Linked DNA regions of Neodiprion lecontei. The protein of the gene in region 1 binds, or shares a complex with, the protein of each later gene. Links are inferred from orthologs where the notes say so. Each region holds a gene or a part of one and is shown in the gene's direction. Other genes may lie near its edges.

What was found.
Region 2: U4/U6 small nuclear ribonucleoprotein Prp31 (region 1) and probable small nuclear ribonucleoprotein Sm D2 share a complex: the UniProt entries of both Homo sapiens proteins name them as parts of the U4/U6-U5 tri-snRNP complex. The link is inferred for Neodiprion lecontei from reciprocal best matches to the Homo sapiens genes PRPF31 and SNRPD2.
Region 3: U4/U6 small nuclear ribonucleoprotein Prp31 (region 1) and U6 snRNA-associated Sm-like protein LSm4 share a complex: the UniProt entries of both Homo sapiens proteins name them as parts of the U4/U6-U5 tri-snRNP complex. The link is inferred for Neodiprion lecontei from reciprocal best matches to the Homo sapiens genes PRPF31 and LSM4.
Region 4: U4/U6 small nuclear ribonucleoprotein Prp31 (region 1) and probable small nuclear ribonucleoprotein E share a complex: the UniProt entries of both Homo sapiens proteins name them as parts of the U4/U6-U5 tri-snRNP complex. The link is inferred for Neodiprion lecontei from reciprocal best matches to the Homo sapiens genes PRPF31 and SNRPE.

What each region holds. Positions count from the first base shown.
Region 1 is NC_060263.1:189,160-198,065, forward strand, and holds U4/U6 small nuclear ribonucleoprotein Prp31, read left to right. Parts: upstream 1-3,639; 5' UTR 3,640-3,815; coding exon 3,816-3,936; intron 3,937-4,026; coding exon 4,027-4,224; intron 4,225-4,377; coding exon 4,378-4,582; intron 4,583-4,671; coding exon 4,672-4,841; intron 4,842-4,932; coding exon 4,933-5,090; intron 5,091-5,174; coding exon 5,175-5,465; intron 5,466-5,557; coding exon 5,558-5,782; intron 5,783-6,026; coding exon 6,027-6,131; 3' UTR 6,132-6,264; downstream 6,265-8,906. Other genes in the region: WASH complex subunit 4, read right to left, coding at 1-549; cell cycle checkpoint protein RAD17, read right to left, coding at 1,162-1,258, 1,332-1,447, 1,522-1,712, 1,888-1,977, 2,073-2,251, 2,374-2,496, 2,567-2,723, 2,844-3,258 and 1 more; uncharacterized protein LOC107218750, read left to right, coding at 7,102-7,411. UniProt on the Homo sapiens protein: Involved in pre-mRNA splicing as component of the spliceosome. Required for the assembly of the U4/U5/U6 tri-snRNP complex, one of the building blocks of the spliceosome.
Region 2 is NC_060266.1:19,484,698-19,491,568, reverse strand, and holds probable small nuclear ribonucleoprotein Sm D2, read left to right. Parts: upstream 1-3,710; 5' UTR 3,711-3,728; coding exon 3,729-3,871; intron 3,872-4,111; coding exon 4,112-4,367; intron 4,368-4,455; coding exon 4,456-4,560; 3' UTR 4,561-4,642; downstream 4,643-6,871. Other genes in the region: trafficking protein particle complex subunit 13, read right to left, coding at 1,094-1,186, 1,325-1,472, 1,603-1,703, 1,787-2,013, 2,081-2,177, 2,324-2,447, 2,755-2,882, 2,962-3,046 and 2 more; proteasome subunit alpha type-6, read right to left, coding at 4,788-4,845, 4,951-5,380, 5,934-6,015, 6,102-6,196, 6,381-6,456. UniProt on the Homo sapiens protein: Plays a role in pre-mRNA splicing as a core component of the spliceosomal U1, U2, U4 and U5 small nuclear ribonucleoproteins (snRNPs), the building blocks of the spliceosome.
Region 3 is NC_060261.1:34,774,521-34,781,889, reverse strand, and holds U6 snRNA-associated Sm-like protein LSm4, read left to right. Parts: upstream 1-3,766; 5' UTR 3,767-3,965; coding exon 3,966-3,968; intron 3,969-4,046; coding exon 4,047-4,088; intron 4,089-4,161; coding exon 4,162-4,260; intron 4,261-4,501; coding exon 4,502-4,709; intron 4,710-4,790; coding exon 4,791-4,888; 3' UTR 4,889-5,146; downstream 5,147-7,369. Other genes in the region: NADH dehydrogenase [ubiquinone] iron-sulfur protein 6, mitochondrial, read left to right, coding at 5,424-5,558, 5,758-5,934, 6,056-6,121; protein SYS1 homolog, read right to left, coding at 6,512-6,994. UniProt on the Homo sapiens protein: Plays a role in pre-mRNA splicing as component of the U4/U6-U5 tri-snRNP complex that is involved in spliceosome assembly, and as component of the precatalytic spliceosome (spliceosome B complex).
Region 4 is NC_060262.1:5,976,406-5,983,277, reverse strand, and holds probable small nuclear ribonucleoprotein E, read left to right. Parts: upstream 1-3,593; 5' UTR 3,594-3,724; coding exon 3,725-4,009; 3' UTR 4,010-4,431; downstream 4,432-6,872. Other genes in the region: uncharacterized protein LOC107220233, read left to right, coding at 5,013-5,206, 5,327-5,496, 5,579-5,761, 5,844-5,922, 6,014-6,192. UniProt on the Homo sapiens protein: Plays a role in pre-mRNA splicing as a core component of the spliceosomal U1, U2, U4 and U5 small nuclear ribonucleoproteins (snRNPs), the building blocks of the spliceosome.

The sequences.
Region 1 (8,906 bases):
AACGATGATCTCATCTAGAGTTACAAATATTACAAATAAGTCAACCAGATGTTCAATGACCAGCGGAAAGTATATATCATAGGCATTGCCCGTCAGATTCGACAGCTGCTGGATGGTCAAATTTGCGACAAGCGATACCCGTTTGACGTATGCTGACAGGTCCTGCAGAATTGATAACAAGACATTGACGTCGTCCCCCTTTTCGTCAACACTGCATCGTTCGCCCTGGGTGAGTAGCCTCTGGTAGAATTTATTACCTTCGATTTTCAGTAGTCTGATTTCCCTGCAAGTACCCGCGACCGCCGCGAGAAGCTTGGCCAATGTTTTGTTCTCCATTTCTACCATGTCCATTATGGTAATGTCCTCGCGGGGGTTGTAAACGAGATGGATCGGCCCTTGGATGACGTATTTCAGAGATGTGTCAGGAACCCAGCCTGAATCCTCGATTGATTTGTTAAAAAAGTTACCATACTTTTTTAGCTGCGCTTCTCCGACCGTTCGATGAATTGCCTCATCCCTCGCACTGTTCCACGATATTGAGTCTATCATGTTAACGGTGCGGATTTTTTCCCTACGCAATTTCACACTATCAATATCAGTCAGTTGTCAGTTTTGCCGTCCATTACGCTTCTCCTCCGCGTCCGGCGTATACATTGTAGGTTAGTTTACCGATGTCAATTTCCACTGGCGGATTTGAAGGTTAGACAGACTGTCGGAAACCGAAGAGTATTAGTAAACTCTTTGGTCGGAACGATAACAGGACAACCCGTTTGTTGCGCACGCCCAATGACGCCCATATAAATCACGATCTAGGCAACCAACGCTGCGTGTCACCAGATAAGAATCACACCCACATCAAACCGTGGTGAAACAAGGGTCAAATGTCGTCAAGCTGTAACCAGGGTCAAGTGTGAAGCAAATTTTCGATAAGATCATTTATTAACCAGTCGTCTTTGTGCAGCTGTTACAATAATTCAACGGGCTCTTAGTCGAGCTTGTTCACAGTCTCTGTATGAAACGTATCTAGAAATAGCCGTTTAAATAAAAAAATAATAATATCTGAACAAAATATAATTGGAAAATGATCATTGACGAAACACGTGGTATCGGCAATTTGTTTTCGGGTCGTGAAAAATCTTGGTATTTTAAAATGTATATCCTTTAATTTCCAAGCCCCTTGAATGTTATTGTCAAGGCTAATTTAGGGCTGATCAGCGATTTGTACCAGAGGGTTTCAGTGGATGCGAGATCCCTGCAGCTGGAAATAACAATGAAAACATTCATTTCCACATATCGAATTCGAAACTATAACCATGCCCAGCTATACACACATTTTTTCGTCATTACGTGGTTTTCTTACTGGATTCCAACCCGGCACAGGATCATTGTTGGTAATCATTATTCCACGGATACAAAACGAGAGTCCAAGTCTGCCCAAATGCGAGTCCTGAAATTTTTTCATTGTCATACAACTTACATCACATATTATTTACATATCACTTTGGAATGTAATCCACATACCCTCCAATCAGATATAAGACAATCTGAAATGCTAAGTATATCAGTGGCTGCAGTAGCTTCTTCGATTCCTCTTGTGGTATTCAAATGATTTTCATGTAAAAACCGCGCGAACGTAGATGGTTGAGTTTGAAAGAAGTACGCAATTTCATCTGGGTCATGTACAAACTTCCATGAATTTCCTTCGACTAGACCTGAAAATTTAAATGACTACCAAGTACTGGATAATCAAAAAATCGGTATTTTCGGAACTTCACGTTACTTTGAACGGAAGATTAATTTAAACTTGTGATGTAGCTCATAATTCACATAGCATATAATTCTACAAGATGTTTTTCGATTTACTTCTGAAAATGAACTATAACTTACGTTTGGGATTAGTTACTCGACCGATGGCATGAAGTAGGCTTAAAGATTCTCCACGACCTCTTCCTTCGCAATCGATTTGTCTATTAGGTACTAAAAGCATACGTACATTGAATAACATTGGAGCTAAATCCAGCAGCTGTATATAAAGCTGTGTAAAGTGCTATGAAAAGGCTGTACGTAAAAACCTTTCAGAGAAGCGAATATGAGGTTAATAACAGTGCTCCTAATATCTCCGATATTGTTGGATAATATTTCTTCTACGATATGTTGAGACACGTGTACCATGTGAGAGGCTCTGGTGTTAAAGACTAGTGAAACTCTCTTCAAAATATTCTTCGTGACCGCTTGTGTGACTGGATTTATGCTGCAAAGCAATACAGTCAAATTCAACGAGTTGATTACAGTGAAGAGTGATATATCATTATAGAATATTTTTCTAGTGCTACAAAACCACATGAAATGTCAATTTCATCACGAGAGCCTCACCTGATATGACAAATACCAAATTTTTCCCTGACATTTGGTGGAAATAAGGTTTGCAGCGCTCCCATGCCCCCTGAATCAGTGCAAATAAATACAACTGGTTCTTTGCCCGTCCCAAAGTATTGCCTGATAAATAATTATAACCGTCATACTTGAATTCAACATACATAATGCAAAATCTGGAACACAGACTCACTCGAGGAGTGTGTGAAAGGCATCTTTATCGTTGAAGTAAACATTTGGAAAATCCTTAACGAGTAGTAGGCGTCTGCAACAATCTTCAAAGAGAGAACCGTATCTTGTAGTTCTGACCATAAAATCTTGAAATTTGTCTCCTTGCCTCGTGAATCTATCTATGAGAAGAGGTAGTAAATTATTTAAGGAGTATTTATCATCAACATCAAGTGTTTCTCCTATTTTTAATCATTGAAAATAAATGTCTTTTATGCTATCGACAGTATTGATCAACCTACTATTTTCATCCGCGCCTTGATCAGCCGGTGTGATCCATTCGACACATTCAAACTCCTTCTCTTTGGCAAGTAGTTTAAAGCTAACGGTTTTTCCACAACCCGAAGGACCAGAGAGAATCAAAGCGCATGGCTTGCTCTTGATAGTTTTATATTCCAACCAATCGTATATTTCTCTTTGTTTTTGTCGGCTAATAGATAACTCTGAGGCTTCTTGAGGTTCGCAAGCTTTGAGAAGAGCCGGTAAGCTGTTTATATGTGTTTTTTTGTCATAAATATCAATCGTTCGTGACACTCGGTCTAGGGACGGTACTTCTGTTTCTATTTTCGGTCGCTTCGCAGGTGTCACCACATCTCGCTCACTCACGTCACAGTCAAAGGACCATGACATCCGACTACCTTTATTCTTCTGTAAATTCTAACGAATTTGAAAATTTGTGAGATGACTGTGGCACGTGATAAGTTTGGATCTATTATGACTGTTTTCTGTATTCAATGCTTATTCACCTTTGAACCGGACATGTCTGATTCATTTGCGGAAATTCCTGGACAGGGACTGTGGTTCGAAATTACTTTAGGGCGTGCCTAACTGGGTTCTAGATCTAAATACTTCCTGATTGTTACCTGCCGCCAAACTTCAAAGTGACAGAATGTTCGTTCTTTGGTTCATTCAAGTTATTCGCTTGTCTCTGCAGCCATCTGTAGCTAAATACAGGAACAACGTGAAATCGGCCATTTTTAAATACACACAGTGGGCATTGGCTATTGGCACCATTAACCTCTGTTTATGATAAACGGTTGAGCCACGAATAGTATTACTTCGCGGGTTGAGCACAGCAACGTCGCGCGAGACTTGGTGAGACGTAAACAAAAAGGTTGCTCAGATTAGGATGGAAGAAGTTTAGGAATTGAGGTTGAAGTTGCAGAATCCTCCAAGTACATACCTCTTGAAATAAACTTCCCAATTAATCCAAGATGTCTTTGGCTGACGAGCTGCTGGCCGATTTGGAGGAAAACGATGACGCGGACAAGTTTATGGAAGAGGCTGAGCCGGAATTTATTCCACCTGCAGCCGTTGCTAAGACGATTGAAGAAGGTCAGGTTTACTATCCACGGTCTTTGTTGCATATACATATCAGTTACCGGATAATTCAGACTTCACATTAAATTCGATACTTTATTACAGAGGTCAAAGTTGCTTCCGTTCGAGAACTCGCAAAATTGCGCGACTCTCCGCAGCTCCAGAAAGTCGTTTCTCTCATAGACAGCTATGGCAAAATACCAAGAAAGTCAGCCGACATCGTAGGTCCGGTTGAATCCGACCCTGAGTATCAGCTCATCGTCGAGGCAAACAATATTGCCGTCGATATCGACGATGAAATTGGTAAGTTTCCCGCAGATTGCAACAGCTTTAACACGCTCAATGGGTGGTTCATTTTGTAATTGCCAGTCAAAAAGTAGGTTCTGGTTAGGGCAATGTGACAAGTTTTAACGGATACCAAATTTTGCCAATATGTATAGGTCCCTAATTTTTCAGCAATCATTCATAGATTTACAAGGGATAAGTACTCCAAAAGATTTCCTGAGCTGGAGTCGCTGGTAGTTGGTCCATTGGAGTATGTCATGACAGTTTGTGAATTAGGGAATGATTTGGATCGAGCTAAGAACAATGAGAAGCTGCAGCAGTTCTTAACGCAAGCTACTATCATGGTGGTGTCGGTGACTGCATCTACTACTCAAGGGTGAATTTTCCAATCAAGTTTAGCATCCTGGTTAAACAATTGCTGACTATAATTTTTTTTCATTCAATAATCTACGTTATATTCATTAGCCAACTTATGACTGAAGAGGAAAAAGAGGCAATTTGTGAAGCCTGCAATATGGCCGTAGAACTGAATAATTGCAAGCTGAAAATATTCGAATATGTTGAAAGCAGAATGGCCTTCATAGCACCGAACCTTTCTATAATCGTTGGAGCTTCGACGGCGGCAAAAATCATGGGTAAGTGAGGTAACTGTGGAAAACAAAGTCACTGTATCAATTTATTATCTTGAAAATTTGAATTCGTTTTTGTCCATTTCAATTGTTACAGGGATTGCTGGCGGTTTGACAAAGCTATCTAAAATGCCAGCTTGCAATCTTCTGGTTTTGGGCTCCCAAAAAAAAATGCTTTCTGGATTTTCCCAGGTGGCTGCCCTCCCCCATGCCGGATTTATTTATTATTCTGACATAGTGCAGGACACACCGCCTGTAAGTGTTTCAATGATTTCTTCCACCTTGCAATCTGATCTATCTTGATTTTTGCTCAACTTGGACTTGCTTTTGTGCTCACAGGACTTGCGGCGAAAGGCAGCGAGGCTTGTCGCCACAAAGAGTATGCTGGCTGCGCGAGTCGATGCTTGTCACGAGAGTACGGATGGTCACATTGGCCAGGCACTGAGGGACGAAATAGAAAAAAAATTGGATAAGCTGCAAGAACCCCCGCCAGTAAAATTCATAAAACCTCTTCCAAAACCGATCGACCCTGGTCGAAAGAAGCGAGGCGGTAAACGTGTACGGAAAATGAAGGAACGATATGCGATCACAGAATTTCGAAAGCACGCGAACCGGATGAACTTCGCCGACGTAAGTCTTTTCTACAGTTCAAGATATCAGGCCGTCGCAGATTTCAGAAATCTTGAGAAAAATTGCATTTCGTTATTTTTCTCCCTCCGCAGATTGAGAATGACGCTTATCAAGAGGACTTGGGTTACTCCAGAGGGACTATTGGCAAAACGGGAACAGGCCGTATCAGACTACCTCAAATTGATGAAAAGACGAAGGTGCGGATATCGAAAACTCTCCAAAAAAACTTGCAGAAGCAGCAGCAATGGGGCGGCAGTACGACAGTCAAAAAGCAGGTTTCCGGTACCGCGTCGAGCGTTGCCTTCACCCCGCTACAGGTAAATTCTCACGTTTTTTATCTCTGGGATGACGAAAAATCTCAAAGTTATCAACGTTAAAATACATCAAGTCTCCGTCATGTTTTTATACTCACAACTCAATTCATAAAGTCTAGTATAGTTACGAACAGTACAATTATATTGATTATTGATTCTTTTTTATTTTTTATTTTTTCTTTTTCGTTAGTTTCTATGCGCTTCTGTATAATTGGACAATAAGTATAAACACTCAATTCTTTATCAGGGTCTGGAAATCGTGAATCCTCAAGCAGCAGAGAAGAGAGTCAACGAGGCGAATGCAAAGTACTTTTCAAACACTGCAGGTTTCCTCAAAATAAAAAAGTCATAGTTTGTGTTGATCATCTTCGCTTCGTCAACATTAAAAATAATGGCGCTCATATAATTCTACCATTTGGAGCATAAGTATGTAGGTAAGAGTAAATTGTCTTTTATATAAGGGAAAATAATGATGATAAAGATAACGACAGTCTTAATCGCATTATTCAAAGTTAGTAAAATTAGTTTATATCCGATGGCGAGTGTTCTTCGCGATTCCATAAATTTTATTCGACGGCCTATGTTTCAAGTAGATATACCGAGTGCTCTATTTACCTGCCCATCTGAGCTGACTTTGAGATTTTAACCTTTCGTCGATCGCGGGTCTTGAGTTCTCTCATAACGTAATAGAAAAAAATGATCTGACCTCGCGTAAGATCGGCATCCTCAGTCCATGTTTTCGTTTTCTACGTCTACTTCGCGTTTAAATTTGAATGACCGCGACTGCGTGTGACGAGCACAATCTCATTCGTTTAACCAGCTCCGCATAAAATAGTTCCGCGGTGTTGGGCTTCGGTTCGAAGCGGTTCAGGTTCGTTGGGCAAACGGTGTTGCGAGTGAAAGCATACATCGGTCAATTGCACAAACCGCGAATGACATGCCGCCGCCTCACCCACGTGCTCTCATACTCGAAGTTCATATGTATGTGTTTTTGCGCCATATTACCCAAAATTTTTTTGCAAATGGACTTGAAGTTCTTTTCATGACAGAGGGTCATGCGGCGCCTCATCTTTTCAGCGTAATGTACCGTCGTTTGAAAGCTGCAGAACCCACGAATTGCGTAACAATTATCGAGTGTGAAAAGAAAACTTCGCACTGAGAGTGAAACTCCTCTTTCCTGAATTCCGAGCACTCAGCGGTACGTTGTGGTTCGTCAATTTAGGCCCACCCCATCATCCGTCGCTAGCTTGAATTGAAAACAAACCGACCGTGGACTGTTTACCCGCGTAAACTATCGCACCGTAACCCGGCTTCCATAATAAATGCGTGTCGTGACACGGAGTCTGATCGGAGCCGGAGCGTGCGTTACTGCCTTTCCCGTTTTCCACGTGGTCGAGGCTTTCGATTTTGCTTCGGAACGCGACAAGGTTGTCGGAAAATCGTGCCGCTCGAACCTGTCTCGGTGTCCTCTGGTTGTTGCGCCCTGCAGCTACACATTGATACTCACAGGTGGTATCGGAACAAGGGCAACCTTTGGCCAATCGGAGGCCGCGAGGATGGCCAGTTTCAACGACCTCAAGACCGAGTGGTCCATGCTGTGCCAGGAGTGCACCGACTGTTGGACAAAGACGGGTGAGCCCATGACTATTAAGACGTTGGTTCTATCATTCTGGACGTTCGCGAACTGAAATCGAGACCGCTCTTATTCTGGACTTTCTTTCCCCCTCTCTCGCCTTCACTTTCTGCTGACTTATCATAATTATTATATCGTGGTTTGGAAGACAATTAGGAGGGGATAAAAAGAGTATTTGAAAAAGCGTTGTGCGTTTTTATATAGGTACACGCAATTTGCGTAAATAATTTCCAATATCTATCTAACAGTCGGCCTCTCGATCGGATCGTACTTAGATCGGTTGTTCGGTTGAACAGGTGAAATGAGAATCGAGATTCGGCACTCGCAGCATGTTGCCGCGACGGAGAGTGATACGATATAGCTGTACAATATGAATTAGAACAGCAATCGCCGTGAGCTATATGATATTTTCGATAGAAATGTGAGAGCGGTGCGCAGATGGAACGTCGAGATTATACGCCTATAGCGGCACAAAGCTCGATGTTGTTTTGATCAGTGGTCAAGGATGGTATACACAACCGTAGGCGTATACACATTTTTTACACGGCACAGCTTGTGCGCGTGTGTGTTGCGTGCCGAAAGGTCGCCCCTGCAACGATGAAAACAGTATGATAGCATGTTGTATATTATACGTACGATACCAAACGTTCCAAAAGTGTGTAAACCGTATAATTAAGAATAAGAAGATACTACAATACCTGATGGTAAAGATGCTGGAATAATTCATAGACACCGGTGCCAAATTGTCTCAACCGATTGTCGCCTCCGGCAATTTTGCTTTTCATTGCGTGCGCGGGATGGTCCTACGTTGTGTTCGAACAAACGGTTGATGTCGGCCGAGTACATGGGAAAGAGATAGACAGCGTCCTGCCCTGAATGTATAATAACGATATGTATAATGTATTCACCTACGTTATTCAACGTTGTACGAGCTCCCAACGGCGTATTTAACCGGATGGCAGAGCCGCGCCCGCGACATTCCAAATTCAATCGTTAGCCGTCCTTTCTTTCGCATTGAATCACAATTCATTCCATTGGCTCTTCCACTAGCAACGGCAACGGTTTTTCGTTCGTTACGTTTTTTTGTAATATCAGGACCAGTGCGGTATCGATGAATGGTGCGTACAAACGATCCCGACGATCGGCGGCCAAGAATCGTTGTGTCCCGCAGTTACCGAATGTAGAGAAACAAACGTTTCATACGTGTCCGAATAACTGAATAAGTAGGATGAGACAGGAAGCGCCCCTTGTCCGTTAATTCTGAAGATTTCGAAATATGGATGAACTTTGGCGTTTTACAAAATCAATGACGAGCTCGGTTATAGATTATGGTGTGTGCAATTCTTACGCCAACTCCCTTTACAGACCTCGGATAATAATAGTTTTCGATGTGAGAAAATTTCATCGGAGACACGCGACGGGACGAATTTCCAAATAATGTACGTCACTTGAGGAAAACAGTATCTGTCGTTTGTACACCAATCGTGCGTTTAC
Region 2 (6,871 bases), on another chromosome or scaffold:
AACATTTCATTGAAATGAAATTCGAGATTCGAATATTTTTGTACAAAACTTGCAACGCGTAGTAGGTACGGGTATAAGTAGGTAGGTAGGAAATTACGTATCCGTACGTGTGTCTGTGTGTGTGTCGTGTGTACACATACATATATGCATTCATCGTTATGTAAAGTGTTAGTGACGTCATCATGCGGGTACAAAGCGCCGCTCTAAGGCGGACTAGTAAACTACAAAGCTTTCATTTTCCATTACATTGGGACAGGGCCGAAAGCAGAGCGTAATTATTGTTTATACAATGGTCTGTAAAGGAACGTATGCGTAATTATTTTGCATTAAAACAATACATGTAATTTACCCAATCCAATGAAATGTAACGAGACTTTTTTCCAAGCAGTAGGACAAGTGTAATTTGTACTGAATGAAAGACGAAAAATATTACCCGGAGACCCTGTGACACAACCACAACGGAAAAGGAGGAGTTTGACGATGCTGATCGAGGCCTCGAAACTCGATCACGTTTAATGCAACAACTTCCGATCGACGCATGCTGTCGAGACTACATATCGATGTTCGATGGATCGAAAAAATCCGTAGCGATTAGTCAAATTCCGTGATATTTTTGCCTAAAGGGGAATTAGATATCTGGCATATTATATGTATAGATCAGATTCTTGCTACCTTCTTTATAACGCAAGATTCATTGTATGATTTATATTAATCAAATTTTCGTCAAATAATTGCAGAATGTCACTGATGTATTGGGGAAAAAAAAAAAAATCAACTTGAAAATGATTAATTTTAATCATTAATTTCAATCGATTAGTTATTTCTTAAAATTTGTCATAACTTAACAAATCTGTGGCGATGAAGAAGGAATTAGGTTGTACAAATTTGTCATTGTTAATAATGGTAGGTAATTTTCGTCGATAGGTAATTGGTAACAATATCATAAAATTTCAATAAATTGATAATAAACTTTCTTTCGTAATAGATAATTACATCAGATTTAATAATTATTGATCATATTTACATATTTATACAACAAATATTATATTAGAATCTCTTTTCCAGTAACACTTTCTATTAGTATAAATAATAATTAGTCGACTTGATGTACAAATATTTGGGCGAGGTCATCATGATCGTAGACACGTTTTAAAAATGTGTCCACTAATTTCAAACCTGAAACAGTCTAAAGGCGAAAATGATCTATCTTTAGTCTCTCTTCTGAAATCATTACCCATTATAATATATTGAAAATTATTTGTTTTAGCACTTTTCACTATACATGCAGCTTTGGATATGAAAATCTTTGAAAATAAATACTCACAACAAGCCCTGTGTCGAGTGGAATTAAACACAATGGAATGTCGCACGATGCTCCCGATTTAAGAGTTCCTATCACAGTCTCAGAGACTCCGCACCATGCTATAGACTTATTAGATTCTAGGCCCAACATTATATCCATACTTCTCTCTCTGTAAACAAAACATATATTGAACTGAGCATTATTTTTCATTGATGTTATTTTATTTCAATTTGAATACGATAAATTCGAAAGGTTCTCTACACATTTATCACTGTCAATGAATGCTTTCAATTACTCACGAAGTATTTACAATACGACATTTGAAGTTCACTGGTTCTTCCAGGTATGCAATAGGTGGTATCTCCTTCATTGTTACTCTCAAGTCTCCAAAATCTGGAGCCTTAAAGACAACCGAAAATCAATTAGATCGAATACCAGCTGAGCTTTACATGTTAAACGCATATTGCAGTTTTTGAAACAAACCATCCTCTGCAGCTGACTCGTTTGTAGGCGTCCTCTTTCACCCAAATTACTCCGCCAAACGATATCAAGTTTTCCTATGTTAGTTGCATTATGCATCATTTTTGGATCCTTGGTTAAGCTCGGCTGAGGAGTAAGGCAGTATAAGTACTGCCGGCTCGATCCAGAATCTAATAGATTCACTCGCCCGTAAATAGACTCACCTTGCAAGTTTGTGTTCAAGGTTGTTACTGTGGAGAGTACATTTTTAGTTAAAATTTTTCGTTTCCCCTGCCATAGTTACAAAAATTATCTCACCATTGAATAAATGGGATGACTCAAGTGCTACTTTCTCCAAACAAATCGGACCGGCAGTTTGATTCTGTATTTGAGCCTCCAGATAAACGTCGTCAGACTAGAAAAATCATATGATTAATCGTAAACTTTTTACATTTATAACTGGGTCCTTTAATTATAAATTAAATAGGATAACAAATTTTCATTAATGTATTCTTTGTCATAGTTTTCAAACAAAGATACCCTAAAGGAAAGATCATTTACCTCTGCATTATAGAATTTGGTTTTAACATCGAGTGGTTTGACGACTTGGAACTTGAAAAATTTGCGAAATGATAATGGAACAGGTTCAGAAACTGTGGGGGTATATGTAACTTCGCAAACCAATCTGAAAATGAAATTGTGAATTTTTATTTTCGAAACTTCGCAGTTCAGGATTGAAGAGAGTGGTTTGCTCACAAAAGTACACCAGACGGTTAAAATTTTCAACCAAAGAAATAACACGGATTGCTAGTAATCTGAGATTTTATAAAAATTGAAGTTGTCAAATTCCAATAACTATAGATTTCACAGAGTGGAATCAACAAAATTTCTACCTGTAAACAGGAACCCAATAATCTCTGAAAAATTTGACTGTACTACAAAACACCAAAATATAATAAATGCCATACTACAGAATAGCGCAACTCTCTTACATGTGTGTCCCAATCTCTTTAACTTCGTGATGGATAACTTCGTCCACTGTATTATCAGGGCCTAGTTCCTTAGGCATACCGTTATGACCAGACAAAGGTATTCGTTGGGAACTAGTTTGAAGATCAGCCTGTAACAGATTTTAGTTAAAGCATTATTTATGCCAACTCAAATGTTGTCATACAAACTGAAAAATAAAAGAATCTTACTTTCACCATCACGTCTTTAACTAATTGGGAACTACCGTTGTGAACGCATAAATAGCTCGAGAATATTTCTCCCAAGTAGATATTACTGAAACAATTGTAAAGCATTTATGATAAGTAAAATTATCGGTAGAAAATGGAAAAAATTTTTCATCTCGGCCACTGTGATCAATTATTACCCAAAACTCTGTGGCAACATCATGAATTGGCCAACAGCAAGGGTCTCCATTCCCTGGAGGGAGGTGTTGTCATTTTTAAGCTCATTATTGAGCGTGTTACCTGGAAGATCTGTCGAGTCGCAAGAGACAATTACTGGAGTAGCAAGTGTCGGCCTGGTAAGCCGCATAACTAGAAATAAATAGAATTTAATGAAGAAGTTTTCAATTAACAAAACACAAAAATCAACGAATAAGTTAGGCGTATGAGGCAGTTGACATGAATTTCCTTACTCATTCAATTATACAATATTTTGAGAACTAATTGGTCATGATTGTTCAAACGCACCTTTTAACGCTAACAAATGTTCACTTTTCGGTTTTGCTTCCATTTCTCTCGTTCGGTGGTAATCAAGTAATAAATTCCTTGTTGTTTTTCAACAGTCAATCTGGATCTGAAAAATCTGGATGCATAACCTATGACATCTGGGGGATTCTTATGTCAAACATTGAAGCAGAGACCTACTCATCTCCATAGAGCTCATCGCTGATTGGAGTTAAGATCGTAGGGAATTCTGCGGCTGAAGACTGGCAATTTTGTAACTAGTAAAATAAATGAACAAATCCGGAATCTGGGTGATTCCGGCACAACCACAACGTTTGCCCGACGAAAGAGAGACGCTTTTCAAGATTCGAGAAAAAATTGATGATCAATTGAAGCAGTTTATAAACAGCAAGAATTTTTCCAACAACATAATGTGAGTGTGCTCTCAATAATATTGATCAAATTATCGTTGAATCTGATAGCATAAAGTAGACGAATTATTTCCAGTTTAGAAGTCACGAACAAAAACTAACCTAACTTAACCTCTCATCAAGATTTAGAATATTTTTTAAATATGATTTATGACCATACTGATGTGTTAACTTTGGCTAACAATTGAACTCTGTTTTAAACGTGATACAACAATTTCATTTCAACAAATGTTCGATTACAGGGCGTCGCTAACCAAACCAAAGTCTGAAATGACACCTGAGGAACTTTCTAAAAGGGAAGAAGAGGAGTTTAACACCGGTCCCCTGTCCGTTCTGACACAATCTGTTAAAAACAACACCCAGGTTTTAATCAACTGTCGGAACAACAAGAAACTGCTCGGCCGAGTCAAAGCATTTGACAGACACTGTAATATGGTATTGGAAAACATCAAAGAAATGTGGACAGAATTACCACGGACTGGAAAAGGAAAGAAAAAGGTAATAAAATCGAAACTGACCTCACTTACCCTCAAATTTATAACTGATTGTAGGTAAAATTTAATAACTGTATGATTAAAAATTGCAGGCTAAACCAGTGAACAAAGACCGGTTTATATCAAAAATGTTCCTGCGAGGTGATTCGGTTATCTTGGTGTTGAAAAACCCACTTGCCACAGCATCAGGCAAATAATATCACTAGTTTGTAAGAATTTTGTAATTATTTTTAACAAGCTGCGATTATATTAAAATAAAGAACCTACTTTAAGCCGTAAGCCAGAGTTTATTTTAGCGTACTTCGACCTATGCATACTTAGTACATATCATCGATAAGATTGATTATTCAGTAAAAAAGAAATCAGATGACACTTTGTGATTAATTACACATTTGGTCATATCCTTTCGACCCGATCTCACCAATTAATCCTTTTCTGCAATTGCGGTCAGATGCTTATCGATTTCTTGCTCGTTGAGAACACTAAGAAGCCATGAAAGGAGAGAAAGAACGAGTTAATCACAATGTATAACTGCAAACAATTGGTTTAAAAAAAAAGCGACATATGAAAATTCATTCATGAATTACCGGAACTTCGGATTGCTCTGGGAGACAACTCCGACCTCAATTTCAGTTGGTTTAAAATCAACAGAAAGAACGGTCGAAAGACAAGTGATAGCCAGCTGAATCGCTTCGTCGTGATCATAGTTCTGCTTCTTTTTTAACTTTTTCTCCAAGTACGAGTTGGCCTCGGTTTGTTTAGCACCAACTGAAATTGCTCTGTAGCCACAAAAGTACCCTGCAGGATCAGTTTTATAAACACAAGGCCCTTTCTCCTGATCGTATGCTATGAGTACCATCGAACATCCCAGAGGCCTCATTTCCGCATTTTGAGTGTAAATCTGACTAATATCAGCCACACGGCGGCACAAAGTGTCTACAGGAATGCTGTAGTCATGTTTGTACTTGAAATGGGCAGCTTCGTAACGAGCACGTTGTACTTGAGATTTGCTGTCAGCTGTAAAAATATCAATTCATTAAAGATTCGTTCAAGTATCATTGTAAAACATAATGTAATTTTTATGATTTAATTAAATCGTTGTAAATAACAGTTTTGAGTATTATTATGAAAAAAATATACTCCACGATTAAATATTAAGTATCCTGAAAAATGATGGTTCTGTTTTTATAGCAAAATTTGATTCTCAATTAATGAAACCTTTTTCTAGAAATGTATCAAGAGCATAAATAGCAGTATTCTTAAAAATAATTAAAAAAAAAAAAAACACCTAAATTCCATAGGTTTCATGCTTAGAAACAAAATCTATGTATGCAGGTATACGTCGGGTAAGTTTCAATTAATCAAGGGGCCACACTTGAAAATGGTTGGTGAAATTGAATTGGTTGGAAATGATTCTTAAATTCACAATTGTCAGCAGAAAATATCTGTGACAAAAAGATTTTCTCGAGATTAGTTTGGATTGTGAATAAAATGTATAATGCATATCAATACAACACTTTTAAAACTCTCAATATCACAGGTTAAATACGGAAACACTTTAAAAATTTACCAATCATCCCAGTCATGACGCAGCCAATATCTTCAGTCAATTGGAAAACGTGTGTAACGCTTGAGGCATCGAGAAGCTTGTCCTGTAATTTAGATGAAAAGTAAAATATGAGTCAATGATGTGCCAATGTAAAACCGTTTTTCTCCTCAATCTGACAACATAACCTACCGGAACTTTTTTTTGTGTAGCAAATACCGCGGTGTCGACGCCTTTAAGAGCGACGGAGGTCAGGCCGCCTTGATTAATAGCCTTAAACGCATATTCTGGAACACAAACAACGTTTTAATTAATACAGAATACTATCCATCAAAAAGTGAAACACTAATCACGCCGAGTCATCATAAACACGGTAATGAAATGTCGAATATTGCACGGAATACTCGCTCGGGGATCGTCGGATTTTTCGTAAAGAAAACGGTGATACTGCCGACTTTTTTGCAGACTTACCTACTTGGTAGAGCCGACCTTCCGGCGAAAATATCGTAATATGCCTGTCAAAACCAGCGCTACTTCCTCGCGACATTTTCGCTCTCTGTACTGACGGCTTTGCTCACAGTCAGTTTTGCGCTGCTGTGGGGGGTGGGGGCGTTCCAAAACGCCACCTGAATGAGTAGATTAGCTTTCTTTTCACTCAGGGTGCGTTCCGATTCCGAACTACCTCCCAGTGCTGTCAACAATCTTTTATCACTTTTGCACTGCCGAGTTCGTGGGTAGGTCTGCCTTTGTCCTAGGGAGTTTTTAGGGCTGTCAGCCTATTTCGGAACACACCGTTTAGTCACCTGGGTGGCATTTCGGAACGCCAAGGATATCTGATTTTTATTTCATCAGTCTATTGTCTATTCTGTTACTATCTATGAGATTTTTAGATGGCCGTCCGCCGATATAAGCGACCTCTTTGTTCTGGTTTTGAAACCGCGGCGATTTGACACATTCGACCA
Region 3 (7,369 bases), on another chromosome or scaffold:
AAGAGATAGAATAGATATATAATATTCATACAATATACCCACATATTTGTATGTTATATTACGACATCGTCGTATCCACGTTTAATACTACCAATAAGATGTAACATGAAATAATATCATCGACAGTCGAACACATCTGGCATCTAGGGTCTATAGAATTATGTGTATAATGCGTACGAAATAGGATAGCCTAGTAGCGTCGCCTTGGGTCGTCGTTCGTCATCGTCTAAGAAGAAACTGCATATACACACGCACGCACACACAGTTACTCCCGTGTGTATGTGTATATTTATATTATATAACACGTCACGCTAGGCGATCTATGTTGCATTGCTTAGTTGTTCGTGATATAAGGAAGGATTTAATAAGTAAAAAAAATTACCCCGTAGTGGTGCAAAACTACTTTGCTGTAATCTGTACGATCGAGAGTATCAATTTGACAAAGAATCATGCGTGCCCTACGTTCTTTTCAAGTTTTCTCATTCTCGTGCCGTTTGTCTAATGTTTAAATGCTCTGCCTTTGTGGTGGACTCACAATTAACGATGATTATATGTATACATAATTATGTGTTGTAATAAACGCGCGATTTAATATGATACCGTATACATAAGTCATTGTAGTTGATAAATTGAGGGAAAAAATGTATGATACAACTGTTTTGTAGGGTATATTGTTGAATTAAATCGACGTTGTCTAAATAATAAAGGTAGAGCTATTGGGTCGCCAATTATCAAGCGATCTCGCATAAGAGAATATAGCCTTTTGCCTAGCTACTAGCTTGCTAGTTATATTGCTAGATGATAATATGCATATATATAAACACACACACAAATTGTAGTCTGTAGATCGTTCTGCGTTTTGCTTATTCTTTTGATGATGATGATAAAGTCGATGACGAAACGTATAAATAGTATATTATAACTGTATACAACGCGAGAGTACCGATAAGATTATTGTTACATACATATACATATATACACATATAATATATATATACATATATACATAAATAGTTGATAAATATTTAGTAAATTAACGTATTTTGTGATATTCACAATAACTATTGTAAACACTACCGCTTTCATTGTTATAATATACATATTACATACTACATGATAGGCATTTCAAACGAGACTCAATACTTATTTTTATTTAATTTGAAAGAAATTGAGAAAATACATTATGATCGAGTACAAATGCTAATCGAGGGATCTTAACTCATTATTTTAATTCGTAATTTTTATTCTTCACCTTCAGTACATGGATGATCATTTTAATAATAAATTGTATCCCGAGTTGAAGATTTTTTTTCGCGAAACAACCAACGTTAAAATTATCAGTTACATTTCGCATTTTCATTGGGCAGTTATTAATTCTTTGGTGTGTAGCAAAACGGTTTATCGGTTTTCTGGGAAACTTATCACAGTGAATACCTAATCAAAATTGACTAGTTCTAGATAATTATGGATCTCATTAACGTTCAGGCTGTTACTTTAACGGGCTGTACTGAAATTACATAACGCATTTAAGTTTGCTTTTTTACCTCAACCCCCCTCACACAACAGACCATAACAAAATATTAAACTCCCCCTGCCTCCTATATTGTACGAAATTTTTTGATCCTTGAAAATTTCTGGTCATCTTCACGCAAACTCCTATATTGAGTTGACTTGTCTTATGCCAAGAAGCGCTACTGTCAGGATATTAACAGATTTGCCATAGACGAACTCTGGCTTGCCAAATTTTTTTACAAAATTTTTGCAATCACCAAACTTTTATTTCTATTTAGATAAATTACGTCATAAACTGGTTTGACTCCCTCTGCCTCTCAAATTGTTACGTAATTTAAGTACGGCCCCTAACAAAAAAGAGGAATATAATGGGTGGATGTGGTAATCAATCCCTAACTTCGATTTCACCCGTAATCAACAGAGAGTTTCAAGGAATACGTCTGAGCCCAATATAATTTACTCAATCGTGATGGTACTAATATTACTTCAAAGTCGTTTTATCTTCCTTTGCCTTATTGTTATTTTCGTCTTTTGTAGATGTTATTAGAAAGCATTGTTTTGTTCCGGGCTTGACAGGAACTCTGTTGCTGCTCCGTTGACACTACATGCATCGTGGCTAGAGCATTTGTACAGGAAACAGGTTTTTGAAAATTGTCAATTAACAGTACGCATAAAGTACGAATCAGACTGACTTCAGGGATTGATAAGTCGATTGCAGCTATCTTATTATATACAATATCGTATTAATTTATTCCATAAAATCGCAGTTGTATACTAGACAGACGATATAAAATCTTGGAATCAAATTGTCTCGAATTATTTCTAATCAACCTGTTGTTTTTTTATTGCAGAATAATATCACGATAATTATTAGTGTTACGCAACATGAGAAGAACACTTGAGTCTCCGCTGATTAATTTAACAACAATTCACGTACAGCTTTTTCGACTCTCCGAAGTGCGTGTATATATATGTGTATAGATGAGATCAATAATCGTGTGTCGATACTGCACTTAGAATTACGTTTATCTAATAATTCTTTGATCACGTGTACACGATATATACGAACTACGATGTAAGTCCAGTCCGATGTAAGTCCAGTCCGTTGTCATCGATTATATATTAATTTCCATTAGAAGTATAGCGATAACCAAGATGAAGCTGAAGGATCACCTCCCCATAAACTTTCCGGACCAATCTTGACACATTTTACAGTCCTACTCGTGCAGGTACGCGGTTGATCTAATTCATTATTCATGTATACATATACCTATATTCGTATGTAATACACATTTGTTGATGGATTATAAACACCCTGCTCGTAGAAACAAACTTTTAAATATATATATAAAATATACATACATATACACACACACATTTACATACAATATAATCTATACCTCTATATAAACATTACGTATGATAAGATCTTGCGAATACACGTATAATATAGAATAGTTACCAACCCAAGCAGTCAATATTGTTAAGTAACAATGAAATTACACTGAATAGTCTTACTTGGAGTATATAAGCGAAGTATATACAAACTTTACGTATTGTATGTACACTTATAGTTTAAGGACTCAGTGTGTTTTTTCGCGTGTATATGTACATATGTATATGTATATATGTTGACACAGAAATATATATTACTCAATAAATCGCCAATCGTATAGTATCAAAATAAAGCTATTCGTTGTAATTTCTCTACGGGCCCTATGCAAAATTCTTCAGCCAACTGTATGAGTAATGTTGGAATTCGTATGAGTCAAATCATATTCTGAGATTGGGTGGGTCAGAATTCAGTTAAAAAAAAGTGGAGTAACATCGTTCAAATCTCGCCGGTGAGTCGAGCTTTCATATTGCTTCATAGGAGTGTCCGAAAAATATACGGAAGAGAAGCATTTTCTGCATCCTCTGCCTAGTAATGTAGCGTTCGTGTGGCGCTCGCACCACCAACGCGGGAGTTTAGAGAAGTTGGCTAAGTTTGAACGAAAATATGGTCAGCCGTCGGCAGCGCCAAGAATCAAGATTTTTGAAATGGTCATCCGTGAGCCAAGTCAGTGTGAAGACGTAAATTCTTCATTTTTAATAAATTAGCTTTTCATTTCATGTTTTGTAATTACCTCTCATATGAATCAAAATTAGTTAGTTTTAAATCCTCAGCATATTCCCTCCGTGCAGTAATCTGAAGAGTGCTGCACTCTGGCATCGATTTCATTAAGCCTAACTTCTTTCTCTCGCGAGTCGCATTTGGTAATTTATATGCATTATATGACGGTAAAAAAAACAGTGTAAAAAACTTTTGCATCGAAGCTCGCTAGTCGATAGGCGATGTAGTCGATATGGTCGATATCAGCTGTGAATTGTGATGTTGACTTATTACTTCATTAGTCGAAATTGAAAGTGTTTAAAACTTCACACGTAACAAATCGTGCGGGAAGGTTTTAAAAATGGTAAAGTTTGATCATGCTAAAATTATGATCAGTAGATGGTTTAATAAATTCAAATAATAATGTTCTTTCATTTTCCAGCTACCGCTTTCATTGTTGAGAACAGCACAAAATCATCCTATGGTAAATCTTAACCTCAAAATTCTAGTCGTTTCATTACTTATTGCCAATTGTAGTTTGGTATTTTTTATTTCAGCTCGTCGAACTCAAAAATGGGGAAACATACAATGGACACTTGGTTAGCTGTGATAATTGGATGAACATTAATCTCAGAGAAGTCATCTGCACATCCAGGGTAATCTCAGTTGGCGTTCAATTAGCTTGCTTACATTTACTACGGGCACAGCATTGAATGTAACCTCGTCCAAAAACTCGTTAAATAATGTGTGCAGTACTGTAAGGCTGAAAGTTCCATTCCAGTTTAACCATCCTTGGAAAGTCTACTTTCATTGCAATGTGTTTATAAAAATTGCTGTAAATTATTGAGTTTATTCTATACTATCATTGCTAATCATCATAACAAATTGTCAATACAGGATGGTGACAAATTTTGGAGGATGCCAGAATGCTACATTCGTGGTAGTACCATTAAGTATCTTAGAATTCCAGATGAAGTTATAGACATGGTTAAAGAAGACGTTCAAATGAAATCGAGGGGACGAGGTGAAATGAAAGGACGTGGCGGTCAAAATCAACGAGGCGGTCGAGGCGGAGGCGGAGGTGGAGGTGGAGGTGGTGGCAGAGGTATTCGATAGTCAAAATCACATTAAATGAAGCAATTAAAGGAATTTTGAGATTTCATAGTTTATGCTTATGTTCTTTCAGGCACTTTCGGAGGACGTGGGGGAAGAGGCCCTGCGCCTTTAGGTCGAGGTGGTAATCAAGGTGGCAACAAACCCCAAAACAAACCAAGAACCAAATAAATATTTATTTAATAAGTGTTTGTACTATGAAATTACCCTAGGTTATACAGGTTTTCTAACTTGTAAAGAAATGTTATGTTTTAATTGTAGCATGTCACGGAGATATTCATCATATACGTATCTATGTATTTGAATCTAACTACACCATTGGATTATAATAATCATTTCTATAAAAAACTGTTATGGTTTGATTGCTGTAGTACTTTGAGTTGATCAACATCATGCATGAGACTTGCAAAATATACGGAGAGAACATCACAACGATCTGTGAAATAATCGACTATCTTCATCGCTTAACTTGCTATTTTTATTTTCAATAGAGCAAAAAATTAGGGATTAAGAAACGTATAATTGGTATACTTTTCTCGTATCTTGAACACTTGTGATACTTGTGCACGGGTCGGGGAAACACGTTGAGATACTACGGTGAGTACTCATTTGAACAGGTTTATGAAACTGTCGCGCAGCGAGAGCCGTGAGTCAGCTGTTATCTCACTGCAACTTCAGACAGATTAGCCGATCAGTAGTTGTGAATATGGCGTGCAAGAAAGTTGTCTGTCTGCTTGGGAATCAAACGAAAGTTTGCAAAATAAACGTCCCGGCTTTCACAACCGGAATACGTAACAAAGCTTCTTGGGAGCCCGTCGAAAAAGAAACGCATACTGGCCAGGTGAATAATAATTACGACTTATCCTGTTACGTAAATGTGAGGTTATGTTCATCTTCTTTGGTTTTCTCTGTTTAATGAACTGTTACCGCACTTTTAATTGGGTGCGTTGACGTAAACCTTGATTCGTATTCCATGAAATTTAAAATCTTTATGTCTGCTATCAATTGAAGTTATTTAATTTGGTTTATTATGACTTCAGAAATGGGACGCGAAGGATTATCGATTGGTGAGATTTGTGGATAAACCAAAACAAGTGAATCCAAACTGGGCTATTAATTTAATCGATGACGTTCCGCCAACTCCAACAACGAAGAGAGTTGTTGCCTGTGACGGTGGAGGTGGACCCACTGGACACCCTAAAGTCTACATTAACTTGGTAGATTATAACTTTATAAATAATCTTGAATCACCTCAGACAAATAACTTATGTCCTAGACATACACATAAATTAATACCGCTGTAAAGACAAAGAATTCAGCAATCTCTACCAATTACAGGACAAACCTGGGAATCATTCCTGTGGGTACTGCGGACTTAGATTCTACAAAGAAGATGCTCACTAGATTGTAGGTTCGGTAACAAAAACTTATAGTGTGTCAAGAAATTGGCAGAATGTATTGAATTAGTTGTATCTATCTCATCGCTACTCTGTACAACCATATGTGTATAATATAAATTATAATGTAACATTTTTTTCCTTACACTAGTCGACCACTTCGTCACTTCAATCTGTTACTGAATTCCTTAATTTCCTTCTACTATCACTCCCTGTGTTAACTACAAGATTATGGGCTAATGTTACTTTAACATTGGTAATAAAAAATGATACTCTGGTTTTTTCTTTCAAAAGTTTGTTAACAAAATTTATTAGGTTTCATTGGTTTTCTCTGGCGTTTTTTATTTTTAATAATAAATTAGATTGATTAATATGATTTTATAATTCAAGCAAATATTTACAAAGCTGTTTTTTGGGTATTCATTCCAAGAGGGATTGCTTGAAGTTCAGTTCTCATGCACAAGAATTCTCCAAATATGCACATTACGGTAACAGAAACGATGTTCAGGCACCACCAGCTGAAACTTGTTGGAAAACTGTAATTGTAACTCCAACAACAGAGTAAGTGAATCAGATGAGCGGTGCACGCAAAATCCATACATTGTTTAGTCCTTTGTACAATCCACCACAAGACCAAAGCTCCAATTAAGGCATTGAACAAGAACATAGTGATGACCATTTTACCACCCAGATCACGAACATGGAGTTCGCTATACTGAAAAGCATAATCCAATGATTTGGTCGATCCAAGAAGTGAGGCAACAATCCATATCCACACTCCAAGGCAAACGTATATCACTGCTTGAACGGCTATTATTTGTGATATTATCAGGATTGGATCCCATGTCATCTTTCGAAATTGTCCAGAAATGTTATTCATCTTATTTTGTTCTCTTCAGGGTGCTCCGTGTGCATTGAATCGGCGAAGATTAGCTATCAAAAGTCCGAAGTCTCATCATTTTGGTGTACTAATGTCAGCAAACATTAGTGAATCTGCAAAATAGTAATAAGTTTGTCGTGAAAAAAGCAGTTAAGTATTCTACGGAATCATCATCAGAAGAAGATATATTCAGCTGTTAATAATATTGCGGTTGTACTTTACTTGTGCTGATCCGCATGAAGTCTCTCGATGTGTTTTTTTAGCAGCAAACCTTGAGAATCAGATTTATTCTAGCTATATATACCAAATTAAACCTGCCGTGGGTTGAAATAGATTTTGAATCGACAATTCGTATAATCGTGTAGCAACACAGAA
Region 4 (6,872 bases), on another chromosome or scaffold:
ATGTTCTCATTAAAATTTGAAAAAAATAATCAGTCCTTCGAATCTCGGTAAAATACAAGTTCAATATTCCTCAAACTTCTCGTCAAAAGTTAACATATTCTTATGTTTTTGGGAGAAAATTTTCACCTTTGAGTGTTATGGCGATCCCGATGCGTGAAATTAATTTAGCATTTCATGGGAGTGAAAATCGAGTACAGAAAATATTTGGAATATATACTCTGTGAAAAGATGATACGTACATTTGCACAAATTCAACGGAAGTGTAGCTGCATAAATTTCGTGCAGATACTTTGATCTCGTATACGGTATTGTATTAGCCATAATGGAGTCAAATCTTAATGAGATTATCCGCGTCTGACAAGCCCGCGCATTCGTGAGTTATACCCTCCAATTCGATTATTCAACGGTCAATTGACCTGCCTGCCTATTGCTACGCGTTCTATAATAATGAACCACAACAGAAACGTCCCCTACGGTAATTACCATGCGATTGTGTCGGGAACATGAAAGTTGGATGGAACTCAATGTATGGGGAGGGGTTCGATTCACTTTCAAAAATACAGATTTAGTCAGTATGCAATTATATTTTTATACAGTTTCATCTATACTCGTCAAAATATGTTTCGTGATTTATGTATACTGAAGATAAAACAAAGGATCAAATTCTCTTTGTGAATTGAATTTCCGAGTGTTAAAATAGGTAATACGACAAATTTTTAGTTAAGAGTCATCATAATTCTTCCAATTTTTTGTTCTTCTGATCCCCACACCGTTTCAAAATTGTAAAATGTCATTAATGGATAAACGATCAAAGTGCTTGACTCATGTGCTACAGGCTATAATCCTGTATAGAAGGGGATGATGAGCGTGGCTTAATCCTTGCAGGGGCTTCTTTGTCTTTTCGGCATATTGAAGGCTGACTGTAAGCCACCCCGATGAGAAAAAAAAGAAAAAAAAATTGATAAACGAGTAGAGAAATTAGGTACGCGTGATGCCGGGGTGAGAATTAAAAGCCACCCTTCGAACTAATACATCGCTTACATCTCGTCGGGCATAACGCGTTGTACTCGAAATCGGTTATCCGCGTATTTTCATTTATGAATATGCAGTCGAAAAGAGATTTTCGAAATACAAGAAACAAAAATGAACAGCCTTCACAAAGCCAATATCACTATCAATACGCGTGTTTCAACGAGGGTTGGTTGTAAAGCTTTTGTATTTCACAGGTATTCATTTTGAACTGAGTCGAACCGGATCGAAATAGAAAATTCCACGAATATCCAGAAATCCTTTCACCGGGTAGTTCGAAACAGCAACGCTGAATTTAATTAACACTGGACATAAATTTGCCACAGCGTGGAAATTTTCTTACCCCCGTGTAATTCGATATATGTATAATATGTATCTACACTACAGTAGAATCTCGATGATCCGAACTAATTGGAATCGAGCCTAGTTCGGATAATCAAAAGTTCGGATAACCGAAATGAATTTTTTATCTTAAAGTATAATAATATATACTACACAAATTTAAATCGACGAACAGTCCGTATTAAACATCCAAATACATATTCAACCTCTTTCAAACACGGAACGATTATTTTAGTACTTTGGTTTTACATAGTCGTTTATTGTCAATTGACGAACGGCTGCTTCACATTTTTAGCGAGAAATAATGTATGTTTCGCACTAAAAATGTATTTTTTGGGCCAGAGCTCAGATAAATCAAGTCATGGTTCGGATCATTGCAAGTTCGTATAACCGAGGTTCTACTGTTGTAGGGATATGGAAGTTGGTTGAAAAATTGACTATGTAATGCAGTTCAAAAAGAAGTAATGGAGAGAGAAAAAATGACCAGGTACCCCTTTTTCCGCGTGCCAGGGATTCGGAGAGAAAAAGAGTGAGTGAGTGAGTGAGAGAAAGAAGGGAAGATCGAGGGCGACGGCTAAAAAGGTGACATTCTTGAGTCCCCATCAATCTTCATTATTTTAATCTCGATGTATGGGCAAGAAGTGGTATCTGCACTATATATTATATATACGTGTACATGTATTACGGCTTCGCCGATACGGTTGGACGCGAAGGAAAGAGAAGGATAGAGCAAGGGGGAGAGATTTCATCCGGCATCGTTAGGCGTGAGTGAAATGTCGTTCCATGTCACTACCGTTAAACCTTAATCCTTTACGTGCCAGAAATTCGTAAAGCTCTTCTGTATAATTTCAGGCGATATGCGCATGCCGTAGTTGTAGGTATATAAGGCATTCTTGTATGAGTAAATATATATAATACATGTCCGGAGGTTAAAAGGTCTTTGTTTTCCGAGTGTCACAGGTCACGTAATGCTACGTTTAGCAGTAGGTATTGTTGCGCAGTATTCGTGGAGTTGCCTCTGATTCCACCAGCGTGAATCAAAGTTGAATGTTCAGCAGAAAGGTCGCGTATTACACTGTGGATGGAATACGCGTTGTGATTTATTGTATTCGCCACGTTGTTCAAATCGTTGTGGATAACGAATGGCAAAGCGATGTCATTGAGAAATTGAACATTTTTTATGTAGAAAAAAGTTACTTTTCTTCATATTTTCAGTAACGTGATTTATTTTGACATTTCGTTTAACTGTTTTTAAGTCGTTGCAAAAATGATCAGCTTCACATTTAACCGTTATTTTACGACAGAGTCAAAATAATTGTGTTGCAAAAAATTTGTGCGAAGAAATCTGAAAACTGGAACACATTTCTCTGTTCAATAAATAATTTTCACGAATCGCAGTTTTACAATTTTGACAAATATTTACTTGCACGAAAAAGTATTTACTTTTTGGACTAAGAATCCATGAAATTAAACTTACGTCATTTGCCAAATATTAACAATACGTATTTCGAAAATTTGCTTAGTCATGTGGACATTGAATTTTCAGATTTCCCATAAATTTGCAGCATAATATGGATATCTAATTAACATTTTTTTCACGAAATTCATGTACAATCACAATTTTTGGCTAGCTATCAAAAAGAAATACACAAATCTACAATGAAATTAAGAAAATTATTATATTTTTACAAAATGCTCATTTCTTGCTCATTTTCACCATATAAAAGTAACGTAATCGGTTACAACCATTCAAAAACGACTCATTGAAACGTTTTACATGCAACCATGTATTTTTTATTAAGTATAAATTGTTATTTGTCAGTTGATATCAATAAATTTCCATTAATAGATCGCTTGAATGAAGAAATTTTTATTAATAAAAAATTTCGTGAAATCTATTCAAATTTTAGCGCGTCGCGGTCATAAAATATAAAAGCATATGGCCGCTTTCCTTTTACGTCAATTTTCTGACACAACACAACACCAATTCATTTTATTGGCGTATTCCGTTAGATTCGACCAATGAAATCCCTTGACGTCGAGTTGTGTCAGAAAATCGACGTAAGATAACATTCCAAACTCGGCGACGATGCAACGATCCTTTATATCAACCGTAGTGTTGCTGCGCTAGTTCGACATGCTTCCACCAAACGGTGCGGCGTCACTTGCCGACGGGATTAAATAGCTTAAATTGAAAAAGTGCCGCCAGGCTCATCGCGGCGGCCATATTCGTTATTCAGATCCCAGCATACAACGCGTCGTGGTTTACGCGGTATCAACGTATCGGCCGAATTTGTTTAAAACTGAAGCTTACGCTTAAAAAAGTGACGGGCAATCTCAAAGACTCGCAAAAATGTCGTACAAAGGACCGCCAAAGGTGCAGAAGGTTATGGTGCAGCCGATAAACCTGATATTTCGATATCTGCAGAATCGCTCCCGAGTACAAGTCTGGCTCTTTGAAAACATCAACCTGAGGATCGAGGGTCACATTGTCGGTTTTGACGAGTACATGAATCTCGTCCTTGACGATGCCGAGGAGTATCACGTCAAAACGAAGAACAGAAAACAGCTGGGTAGGATAATGCTGAAGGGGGACAACATCACCCTTATTCAGAATACGAACCCCGGTGCGAACTAGAACGGGAAGAGAGAGCGGCAACATAACCTATCCTAACCTAAAAAATTAGAAACCGGCGCGCGCGGCGCGCATCGTTGGAAGTTCGGAGACAAGAACGACGGGAAAGAAGAGCGGCGAAGAGCGAAATTTGCTCAGGGTCGAAACCGTCGACGAACAAAGAACGCGACCACTTGTAATTTAAATAGTTTTAAAGCTTAGGATTAGGGCACAGTGTTTAATTGAATTTGTATTATTTCATTCCGATTCAGAACGAGTCGACTCATCTAGCATATTAACTTACTATGTACTCATCGAAATAATCAAATTGTAATATGCATATTTGCAAAAGTTTCAAATCAAGTATATAATATCTCTCTTTCTCGCTGTGATCAAATTCTCATCGCCTCGACTCGTTGTGTTCAATAAAAACAGTACAAATTTCACGTTGCGTGTGTTTATTCCTAGACTTATTTTATACCTGTTTTTTATCTACCTATTCTTTTACCTGAATCACTGATCGATTATTGTTTAAGGATTTAACAACACTGTACAAAAATCCAACTCCGTCGACTCGAGTCGCCTCTTAGTTAAAGAGGATATTCGAATTCTATGTCTTGTTCCATGCTTACCCGCACTTTGCTATGTACTCTAAGTCGCAATCGATCGAGCTTATTTGCACAGTTTAAAGTTACCTAAGTTGCTTGAAATCTTGAAATGTTACGTACGAAATTTCCATATTGGCAGCCAAATGAGTTTTCTATCAAAGATAGTCAATCAGAACTTTGTGTAGGTCCTTTTCTAGATACTCATGTGTCAGCAAAAAATAGAGGATTCAGGAGACGAAAGCATTCTAACAAATTGTAAATAATTGCTGACTGACAGAAAAATATTCATATCGAACTTCGAAATCCTAGGTTTCAAACAAAAGTGAGCAAAGACAGCATTTTTGTTCACTTAATTAACATGTATCTATGGAGTTGCGAGAAGTGGGCCAAAAAATAATTACTCTTGATGTTAAACGTAGGTGGAAAAAGTGCCTGCTCGACGTTTATAGACCGCTGTTATGCTTTTATCGGTGAGAATGCGGTCGAAACGGTAAAAACGACGTCGTTTTGTACCCTGCCAAAAGATGCATTGATCAAGCTGATTGCATCCGATTACCTTGCACTCGAAGAAGAGGATGTTTGGAGGGCAGTTCTAAGCTGGGCAAAGTACCAGGTTCGAGCTTCAGTATTATCGATAGTTCTTCCACATCCAATTTGTGGAATGTTCCAAAAAGCTGAATCTGCTATGATTAACTCGTGTTGAAAAAACAGATTACAAAATTTTACATTTCAGGCAGGAGTTACTCAGCCTACTCAGCACTGGACCGAGGAAGAAAGAGTTCGAGTTTGCCAGCACTTGTCTGGCGTTATCAATTACGTTCGCCTTCTCCTGATCGACAGTCAAGTATTCGCAGAGGAAGTTGAACCGACCGGAGCTGTGCCGATGGAATTATCTTTAGAGAGGTGTGTTCAGTACGCTGAGAAATGAAAACTATCAGAATCGTGCTCGCTGACTTGACTGAATATTGCCCTGTTTTATTTGAAGGTACAGATATGCCGCCCTACCGAACAAGTATGCAGAAATATGCTCGGACAAGAGACTCCAGCCGAGAGTCAGTCTCATCCTGTTTCCAGGATCCCAAATACTGTCGCGAGACAAAATTGCCTTCCAGCGACTCTTGAATCAGTGGTACGGCATTCACAAACAGACGTGGAGACTCATTTATAGGTGAGTTTTTTCAGCAATCCGCTGAGGAGTTTTTGCAGCACAACTCATGACTGTGTTACATTGAGTTTTCTAATTTTTTCAGAGCTTCGAATCACGGTTACTCAGCAGCATCCTTTCATCGACACTGCGACGGCATCTTTCCCACATATGTTCTAGTTATGGTAAGATTTATTGATTTTAAACCAAATAAAACCAACGAGAACCCCGAATATGGTTTTAGTAAAACAACGCTTCTTGACTTTCCAATTTCAGGGAGGACGTGGTGAAATATGTGGAGGATTTAGCGATGTTCCTTGGGGAAAGATTACTACGAAGGGGTATTACGTCTCATCGGAAAAAGCCTTCCTCTTCACACTGACCAACAACCAAGATGTCCCACCCACGAAATACGACATCGTCAAAAAACCATTTGCAATTTGCTACCATCCAGAGTAAGAGGCAATTTCTCGAACTATCTGACTTGACTATGCCTAATGCTGTTGGCTTTCAATTTTCTTTCAACACTAAATTTTAGTCAATGTCACATACACAGAATTTGCCAATTTGATGTTAATTTTTCTTTAACAGTTATTAGATCTGTTCATTATGAAATAATCTTCATTATTTTACCAAGGCATTGAATTATTCTACTGAAACGCACCAAATCGAATGCTAATTCATAAAACGCTTATAGTGCCACCGTAATTATATCGACTCATCGATTCATTGAACGAAAAAACGAGATTTTTTCCCTGACCACTTTTGACGTTTTCGCCCTTTTACTCACTTGAAGTTCGTATTGAAAGCATCAAAACTGAATTTTTTCAGATTTTCCTGACCAAGCATTTTCTTACCACAGCTCGTCGAAAAATGAACTTCTGACAATTTCTCATTTTCCTATGCAAAAGTTTCGCATCGTTGTATGAAATTTCTAAAAACAATTTTACGTGCCCCGTTAAAGTATAGTTTTGATGAACAATCTTCTAAAATATTCTGTAACAAAATGGTGCCTTAATCGAATTGGCTGAAATTTTTACACAGCGTTTCTTTTTCAATAACAAAGATTGTCTATAAGTTTCGTGGTAGTGGGAAAAGTAGTTCAGAAGTTGCAAGTAATAGTTTACATGGAACC